3 linked regions of the Tribolium castaneum genome follow. The protein of the gene in region 3 binds, or shares a complex with, the protein of the main gene of each other region. Links are inferred from orthologs where the notes say so. Each region holds a gene or a part of one and is shown on either strand. Other genes may lie near its edges.

Region 1 (2,995 bases), on a different chromosome or scaffold from region 3:
CGAGGCGATAAGTTAGTCTTTTAATCACTTAGTGGTGGTCGCCTATTAATAACAATTGTAAATATTTTTAATTAATGAATGACACAAGTGGAACACCGCCAGATTACTTAATTCGTAACATATGCTGACAACGTAACTTTAAAAATAACACACCCTTTGAATCAAATGGGACCATCCATCAACTGATGTAATTATTTACCTAAGTACCCAATTACTCACTTGATCTAAATATACACAATTCATAAAAGACTAACATAAATATTGACAGTGTTTAAACAAGATTAGCTCGCAATTTCCAGACTTACCTGTAACGATTTGTTCCTCCTGGGGTTTATCCTCGTTTCTTTTGAAAATAAAATCACCGAGGGCCCTGGAAAGGGCCAAGTTCCCGTTAACCCTGTTGTAATCAACAAACCCTCCCGCCGCTACGATCCTGTCGTACTCCTCCTTGTTGTTCGGCTTGTGGTCGTTCGAAAGCGGCTCCGCCTTGCCCCCAATGCTCGCCACAGCTCTAGAGTCCCCCACGTTGGCGCAGTACAACGTGCCATTTTTGATAATAATAGTGACGGCTGTGGAGCCCGACTGCTCGTTTCTCAACGACTCATCCTCCAGCATGACCCGGTCGATCTCCAAGAAGGCCTGCTTCAGCCCCTCCTCGATCTGGCCGTTCTTGTACTCCTCCCGGTTCGTGATAAACTTGTGCAGGTGCTTGCCCGCGTACTCCGAGATCTTGGAGCCCCCATGCCCGTCGTAGACCGCGAAAAACGCGGCCTCGGGGTCGTCCGGCAGGGACAAGATGTGCGTATGGGAGTCCTCCATGTTGATGCGCCAGCCCTGCATCGAACTTGAGCCCACTTGGAAATTGGCGTTTTGGCAGCATGCTGTGTTCTTGGCAGTCACCGGTTCGGACAAAGTTTGACCCATAGTACCCCTGAAAGGGCGATAAGTCCGCAAAAAGCGCAAAAACACGAGGCAAGCGGGAAAAAACCGTCGCTACTTACTCAAAATTGAACTCTGCTCTTTGGATGGGTTTTATTTAGCATACTTGTGCTAAATCGAATCGCATATTTTGCGTACGCTAATTAACACCGCTTTTTGCTGTTGTGTGTCACGAGATATGGAACGCAATATTTAGGTTAATCGGGAGAGAACTCTTCGAAAAAAGAGAAACTTGACGTTTGAATGTCGAGCTGGGACGCGGCCGGCTGAGTGCGTCATCGCCTGTGCACAAGGCCGAAAACTTTTTTATGTCCTAAACAATAAAAATGTGCGGCACGTTCTTCAAATAAAAACTATTGACAATAAATTCGTTGTTACTTATTACTAATTAAATTACGATTTGATTTTACAATCTTGGCGAGGGAAGCGCCAACATTGCGACACTTAATACACCAGCCAAATTTAAAAACCAAACTTTTACGAAATTGGGGGCAAGTGAATCGGGGTTGACACCCAATTAGGGTCATTTGCGACTTTTGCTCGTTCTGTATAGTGTTTCTTTGCCGCTTTCAAAGTCCCCCTAAAAGCGCAGCCTTTTGATTACGTTTGCTGCAGTTGGCACAATTGCAAGATGGCGTCCGAGAAACCCGGGAGCATTGAACAAGGTAAAGCATTTTTAATAAAAAATCACCCTGTAAATGTTACTTTTGGCTCAATTTAATTATTAAACGATTGTTGAGGCCTTGCATGGACAGTTTACGCGAAATTGTCGGCTAGCGTGCGTGGACAAGTTCGCATTTTAAACAGAGTGGCTTATGTCAATCTGTCAAAATATAATTGATTTGTTGCATTTCCTAGAGCAAGATCAATCTTTGAGCGATCTAGAGCAGACCTTAATGAGTATGGAAAATCTGGATAGAGCCTCTCCAGAAATTTGGCCAGAGAAGTGTAAGTAGCGTTGCACATGTTTGTGGGATTAGGGCAATAATAGGGTTTCAGATCCAGGAATGACAGATTTTGTAAACAGTTTCACGCCACCAAGTGCCGTAAAACTGCCTTACTCGAAGGAATTGAGTCAGGATGACCAGAATTATCTGCACCGTAAGTTTGGATTAGTTTTTGTGTGATTGTAGAGAAGAGTGTGGTTTTTGTAGAATTAGCAGCTCTTCCAACAGCTGGACTGATTTCTAAAGTCAAGGAGTTGCATGATATTGCATATCAGTTGGGTGTTGAGGAATCGAAAGAAGTCACAAGGGGGAAATACTTAAATGTTTTTAAGCCCAGGCAGAAGCAGAAATGATTTGCAATTTGTTACCTAAGTAGAGGTTCCAAATAACGTGGAAGTTATAAAAAGAGCAGGGGAAATATATTTGTACATAGGATTATAAGTTTAAGTTTAAAGAAGTGATTGTACGTTAATTTCCTGGAGAAAATCATTTTTGTAATGTATTATTAAGCAAGTGCTTCAAAAGGATTTATGTATTATATTGCACTGCTGAAGTTTCGTTTGTATAATAAAAATCGAAAATAAATTTGGTTTTGTAAAAGGTGTCTTCATTTTCTACAATTAAAATTTTGTTCCCCGTTAGCTCACCAAAACAATAATGAGGTGATGCATTATTATTATTATTATTATTATTATTATTACTGAACCCAGCAGCTTCCTAGATTAAAAATATCCGGTGGAATGTAAATTGATAATTATTTTTGCAGGAGATTAAGCTCTCTAATAGGGCCTTCAACTGTAAAAAATCATGTTCGGACAAACATTCCTTAGGACCTTAACATTTTTTTAATTTTTATAAAATTTCTCGATTTTGCAAATTGCGTTAAAAAACTCGTATTTAAGGATTGCTCTAATTAGTCAAATTAATAACTCATTTGTCCAGCAAGAACCAGAAGAAGGTTTAGAACATTCTTGCCAGGAAAAAAGGAATTAAGGATGAGGTAAACAATGATTATTAGAAAATAAAGGAATTATTTATGAAAAAAAAACAACACATAAATCAAATATTTTTTACTTGGCGTTAAATAAGATGCACCTACCTTCATATGG
Region 2 (3,418 bases), on a different chromosome or scaffold from region 3:
CGCTAGAAACTAAATTTGTTCGTGAAATTACGCTGAACTGGGGCAGAAAAAAAACTAGCAGTGACATTTATTTCCTATTTAAGAGGGTTTTAACACGGTTTGCATATGTAAGGACACAATTATTTTAAAGAATTTTGGCGCAAGTTTAAAGAAATTAAATTATTGTGCTCGAAAACGGTGTTATTGTCTGGTTTTTTTTGAACTAAAAAATTAAATTACGTTAAATGGTTTAAGTATATTTTCTAGTTAGCAAATTTTTAATTTAAGACGAAATCTTTAAATTGAAGCGGTAAGTACGTGTTTGAGCTAAAAACTCATTTTCTTCGCTAAATTTCGCTAATCTCTGCCAGAAAAATCGTCAAAGTCGGTTGAGAATGTCATTTATTTTGCTTTTTTTAAGGGTTTAAACGTGTTTTTCATCAAGAAACGCAATTATTTTAATCTTTTTCGAGAAATAAAACACATTTTTGAGCTCAATAGTCAGGTTTTTCGCGACGTTTTGATAAACTGGACTGAAAAATCATTAAGAAATTAGGTCAAATTGATTTTTCTACACTATCTTGTAGACAGGTTTTATAAAAATCCTCTTCTTTTAATCAATTTTTGAAAGTTTTCAAGGGCCATATAATAAGAAATGCATAACTGTATTTTATTTGAATATTTAATTGTCGAATTTACGAGTAAATATTTTGTTTTAAAGCTTCAGATATCTTCTACATATAAAGCAAACAGTGAAGAAGGATTATGATTTATTTCAATCACTGATAATTTATTATAATTAGTCAGCAGTTTCTGTTTCTCATTCTGTTCTCCACCTTTACTCTGTTTTGTATGAAACTGTCGTTTTTAGATCGAGGAAACTATACTTTCCTCGCTGGTCTGGAAATCAGACAGTTTAATTTGGGAAGCAATAACATCTTCCGATAGGGAAGTACCGAAATTCGAAGAGACGGCTTTGCCAGGGCATATGCAAAATGAACCAAGTTCTGAAAACTTAACCTTGAGAAGTATTCTCAATTCTGAACCAAGTATTTTTGCTATTTTTTATGTTATACGATTGTTACAAAAATAATTGTAGGACAAATTGTATCGCCTGGCCCTTCTGCAACAGACCGGTTTCAGTCACCAGTAGCACACAGCAGTGCTGTGAATAGAGAATTGTTTCCTACAGTTCAGTCAGGTCAATCTCTACTCCAAACGACTCATTTGAGTAAGTTTTAATCAACTAAATTAACGCATTTATCAAAATTTGCGTTTTTTAGTGATTAAAGATCGTACTGGGAATACTCGCATGATTCCTATCGTAAATAGTGAAACGCAAAAGAGCACCCCGGTGCCAGTTCAACAGACGACTCCACAACGTCAGGAGAATGTAGCTCAAGCCAGGCCGAGAAGAACAGGAGGTGTGTCAATAGTATTCAGGAAAGTAAGTAAAGTCCCGTTAAAATTTATAATTTTGCGGTTTAATGGCATCCAAGTGTTAAACAAATCTGCTCTACTTTCTAGAATTGGGTTTATTTCAGTGTAGTAATTAAACGCTTTTATTTTTTCCGTGAATTGTTAAAATTTTATATGCGGTCGTCATGGGTAAAGAATGACCATAAATCCGTGCACAAGTGCTAACAAAATTTATATTACCCTACTAACAGATGTCCACTAAAGACACATTCGTAATTTCAGTTCTATAATTTATCTGGAGAACGGATGGAGCACCTGTGCACACACTTAAAAATCACAAACACGGACACTAAGCGCAAAATCTGGACGGTCTTTGAGGAACTGGTTCGCAAAAACCACTGCGAATTGATGAAAGACCGCAATTTGGACCAGCTATTAATGTGTGCCGTCTACATGATATGCAAACTTACGAAACTCAACAAAAATTTTACGGAAATTATTAAAAGTTATAGAAGCCAGCCTCAGGCCACGAGTGACATTTATCGCAACGTTCTGATAAGCAGTAAAAAAGTCGTGGTTGTTGGTAAGCTCCAAATGACGCAGTTTGCGTTTTTTCTACGGAATATTTCAGATGGGGAGACGACCGAAATTCCGGAAGAATGGGGTGACTTGATACAGTTTTATAACAAAGTGATCATTCAAGCAATGAAAAAGTTTGCGCAGAAATTCGTAGTCCGAGGCGAGGAAAACGTAAGTTCGAAAATGTTTTGTTTGTAACGTCTTATTTTTGTGATTTAGATCGGAGATATACTTTTGAGTCCACTGCCGGCGTCCAGGGGGCAAGTGGTCCAAGTGTTTGACAACATTTTTATCAAGCCACTGGAAAGTCCGACTTTGACTTTCGGCAATGGCAAAGTCCTGAACTACTATTTCAGCCGAAGTCCTTCTAAGGACTTGAAAGACATCAATAAGGCCATAAGGGGCAATGGTGTGACGGGAAAACGATTGCTAGTGGAGGGCGAGAACGACTTGCCCGACTCGAAACGTCTGGCAAAGAGAAAAGTGCAGTCTTTGATTGAAGAAAGAAGAAATCAAAACACTGAATGAAGTTTCATTTAGATTTTAACGTTTATTATGTATAAAGTTTAATTCTAGCATAATTCAAACTTTTTTAATTCTAAAAATATTAATTTTTTCGATTTTGGCACCAGTTGATGCTGGCGTCTGGTTTTTGTTCACTGTTCTTGTGATATGCTTGGAAGTTTCCCTTCAAAGGGTCGAGTACTGAAACATCTAAAATAATTTATCTCAACTTTTCGTTTTAATTAATTAAATTACGTCAAAGTTTTATCGTGTGTTTGCCTTTTTACTTTATCAGCAAAAATTTCGTCGTAGGTTGGTTTGTACGAAGTAAACTTCACGTCTATTTTGAATAAATTGACCAATTGAATGACCATGTTTGTTTAAGTCTCCTTTTACAACCACAAGTGCCGAATATTATTTTTTGTCCAAAAATGATTGAAGAACTTTTATTAGCCTTGTCCTTATATCCATTTCTAAAATTATCTTCGTCTTATCAAGTATATTTTTTCCAAACTTAAATGGCGCAGTCAGTAGGATTAACTTAACATCTTTTCTACAAAATTTGTGGACTTTAGCCTTGGTTCTAATGTTTATATTACAGCTTCAAACATGAGGAGACCTTAGCAAGTCATTTTTCTTTTAACAGAAAAAAATAGTACACGTTTTGCCAGGCTTTCAAAAGCAAATTGTTTTAACCCAATTAATAAACATTTACTTTTTATCCCAAATCCGTTAGTTTGTGTTTTTTCTTGTTACGATTTGACTTAATTTCGCAACAAGAATTTTTTGATTTTTTTGACTCGAAGATATACAGGGTGGCGCTTAAAATTACCAGAAGCCGCTCCAAACGCTAGCTTGAAGCATCGTTGTTGAATTAAAATCTTCGAGTATTTACTTATTTAACATTTGCTCTGCCAAAATATTTACCAAGTATTCT
Region 3 (3,117 bases):
AATTGCTAAATTCTATGAAAAATGATTATATTTGGACCATTTTTGGTTCTTTTTGAGCTGAAAACTCAAGTTATTCGCGAGGTTTTGTTAAAATGGATCAAAAAATATCACTAATTATGTGAAAAAGTATAAAATTTTTATCTTTTCAAGAAATATTAGTGACTTTTACGGCCAAAAACGTAAATTTTTCGTAAAATATTAACCTAAAAACAATAAATAATGTCAAAAACGGTGTAATTATCATTTATTTAAAATTGAAAAATGTTTTAAAGTATGTTAAAAATTGTGCCATTTTTGCATTTTTTGAGCGTTCAAGCACCTTTTACCAATATTTTTTTTTGGGTGTTTGTACCCGTAATAGGTACATCTTAATCTCAAATAATGACTTTATTTCTGCCTTTTTTTTGGTGCTTGCAGTACATTTTGCAGCTAGTAATATACTTATTTCAAAAATTTTCGTCGAAAGAACCGTCCAAAAATAATTTAGTTGGAAAATGGTATCACCTGTTAAAAACTCAGTTTTCGAATTATTTCATTTAAACGACCCAAAAAAATAAATTTTGAATAAAATGATATATTTGTTTTTTTCGTGTATTTTCCAAAATAAGCCCGGAACTTGGTCGAAAAACGCCGTTGTGTTTCAATTTACTGAATTAATTTTCTCCTTTTCAGATGCAATACATTAAGTTTGTGACGGCCACCAATGCCGAGACCACGCCCTTTTCCTCGGGAGCCTCCACCCTCACGACCGTAAAATCGTCAATGCAAGCGTCCCCAACCAACATTGTCTTGTCGGAACTCAAACCGGCGTCCCAAGGCGCAACTATCGCCCCCAAACCGTTGAAAAACATTGCTGCAAAAGCCCCCGTCAGCAGCAGTCAAGTGGTGATGTTGCCAACGTACGTCCAAGCCAAAGTGCCGATCCCCATGCGCCACACCTCCGCCACCAAACAAATATCCGCAGAGAGTATCACAATGACACCCGAGTCCAATCTCGAGTCCAACGGCATAAGACCCCGAAAACCGTGCAACTGTACCAAAAGCCAGTGTTTGAAATTGTACTGCGATTGTTTCGCAAACGGCGAATTCTGCTACATGTGCAACTGCATGAACTGCTTCAACAACTTGGAAAATGAGGATCACAGACAGAGGGCGATCAAGACATGTCTCGAACGCAACCCTAATGCTTTTAGGCCGAAGATCGGCAAAGCGAAAGACGTGGCCGGGGACAGTTCGATCAGGAAACACACAAAGGGGTGCAATTGCAAGCGGTCGGGCTGTTTGAAGAATTACTGCGAGTGTTACGAGGCCAAAATCGCCTGTTCGAATAACTGCAAATGCATGGGGTGCAGAAATATCGAGGATTCGATGGAGAAGAAGAGTCTGAGGGCCTCGATTGAAGACGGGTTGCATAATTTGCAAGGGAAGATGGCACAGACCAGGGATCCGCTCCAGTTCAGGACAAGGAGGACGTCAAACAGCCGACAAGCGATTAATTTCATAACGGATGACGTTATCGAAGCGACCTCGCAGTGCATGTTGACCATCTCCGAAAGTGGGGATGCAAATATGCAAGATGAGCAAGTGACGAAAAGCCAGATTCTGGAAGAGTTCGGGAGGTGTCTCAAGGAGATCATCGATTATTCTATGTTGCACAACTGATGAAGTAGCGCTACGTGAAGTCAGACTTAAGTGTAGGTTACTAACTTTATTTTTATTTCCTAGGTTTAAGTTCAAATAAACTTTAATTACGGTTTTAAGGGCCGGTTTTTGCCCAAAACAACTACCCTAACGTCTAAAACCACTTAAAAATAGAAATAATTTCATTTTTTTAAATTATTTCCTTGAAACCCTTCGGTTTTTTTGCGGACCAAGTTTAAAAAAATTGCTGATTTTTCCTGTGTTTTAGCACGTACTTGCAAAATTTCGTTAAAAAAGACTGAAAAATCAAACTAGACCAAAAGTGGGCACACTGTTCAAGCGGCCGTGCAAATGCACAAATTTTAAACTCGGTGTTTAAGAAAATAATAAATAAAATCGTTTTACAATTGGATGTTATTCTTAGGTTAAATCATCACCTCACAGACGTTTTAAATTTTTGTAACCAACGGGTTAAACAGCTTAATAAATTTATCGTTTTTAGGGAAAACCTAATCAAATAAATCATAAATAAAAATAAATAAATAAATAAGACCCCTAATAAAATTTATCAAAAATTACGTACTATTTTTTAATAAAATACTGAAACGACCAGTTTTTTCTTTATTTAATTTTTGGAAGTATTAAATTCTGATAATGTTATTTATCTGAAAATTTGTGTACAGCTATAATCTGTTGTCCTGACCAATGAAAATTATTTTAAATAGAAAGATATGTTTTTTTACTGTGTTTCTGGGTATCTTGAGTTATTCCAAAAGGATTTTAATCGGCTGTCCCTATACGTAAATTTAACCGTTTTCAAAATATTTAGGGATTTTTTGAAAATCTCTGGTTTTGCATCTTTCACTTCAAAAATCGATAATTCTGTCATTTTTAGTTTTAGAAATCGTATTTGGACAATCAAAAAAATCTTATATTTTTTCTTCAGTGTTTTCAAAATTGGAAAAAAGTTTACAAACTTTAAAACCTGAACGTTGTTTTTGAACAATTTCTACAAGCTATAAGTCAATTTTTTCAAATAGAATGCCCCAATTAAATAGCATTCCCTAAATTCATTAAATTTAGATTTAAAAAACTTTGATTTCTTATATTTTATTCAGTTTCCGTGAATTTTTCAGTGCCAACAAAAAGTTCGTATAACTTGAAATCTGTTAAACATAAGTATAGGAAATGTTAATACAGATCGCTGCAGAATTAAATTCTCTACCATTAATTAGTGAAATAAAAATTGTGGCATTTTAATTGAAAATTTTTAGTTATGGTTGTTTGAAATTCTGCAAACTTAATCTTAAAAATTTGGAAAGGAAAGGAAATAAGGCAAAGATCTAAACCTTCTTTTTCAAATAAGCCAAAAATTTTTTAAAACAGCAGAGTTATCAATTTTTGAAGTCAAAGATGCAAATCGAAAAATTGTCAAAAAACCTTAAATGCTGAAAACTGATTGTTTTCAGATGACTA

What was found.
Region 1: protein lin-54 homolog (region 3) and lin-52 share a complex: the UniProt entries of both Homo sapiens proteins name them as parts of the DREAM complex. The link is inferred for Tribolium castaneum from reciprocal best matches to the Homo sapiens genes LIN54 and LIN52.
Region 2: protein lin-54 homolog (region 3) and retinoblastoma-like protein 1 share a complex: the UniProt entries of both Homo sapiens proteins name them as parts of the DREAM complex. The link is inferred for Tribolium castaneum from reciprocal best matches to the Homo sapiens genes LIN54 and RBL1.

What each region holds. Positions count from the first base shown.
Region 1 is NC_087402.1:6,135,845-6,138,839, reverse strand, and holds lin-52 (protein lin-52 homolog), read left to right. Parts: upstream 1-1,456; 5' UTR 1,457-1,570; coding exon 1,571-1,604; intron 1,605-1,797; coding exon 1,798-1,887; intron 1,888-1,938; coding exon 1,939-2,040; intron 2,041-2,093; coding exon 2,094-2,239; 3' UTR 2,240-2,486; downstream 2,487-2,995. Other genes in the region: probable protein phosphatase 2C T23F11.1, read right to left, coding at 306-924.
Region 2 is NC_087396.1:19,760,505-19,763,922, forward strand, and holds the end of retinoblastoma-like protein 1, read left to right. Parts: intron 1-850; coding exon 851-1,028; intron 1,029-1,078; coding exon 1,079-1,210; intron 1,211-1,262; coding exon 1,263-1,426; intron 1,427-1,680; coding exon 1,681-1,981; intron 1,982-2,029; coding exon 2,030-2,148; intron 2,149-2,196; coding exon 2,197-2,505; 3' UTR 2,506-2,852; downstream 2,853-3,418. UniProt on the Homo sapiens protein: Key regulator of entry into cell division. Directly involved in heterochromatin formation by maintaining overall chromatin structure and, in particular, that of constitutive heterochromatin by stabilizing histone methylation.
Region 3 is NC_087399.1:5,902,987-5,906,103, forward strand, and holds part of protein lin-54 homolog, read left to right. Parts: intron 1-672; coding exon 673-1,662; 3' UTR 1,663-3,117. UniProt on the Homo sapiens protein: Component of the DREAM complex, a multiprotein complex that can both act as a transcription activator or repressor depending on the context. In G0 phase, the complex binds to more than 800 promoters and is required for repression of E2F target genes.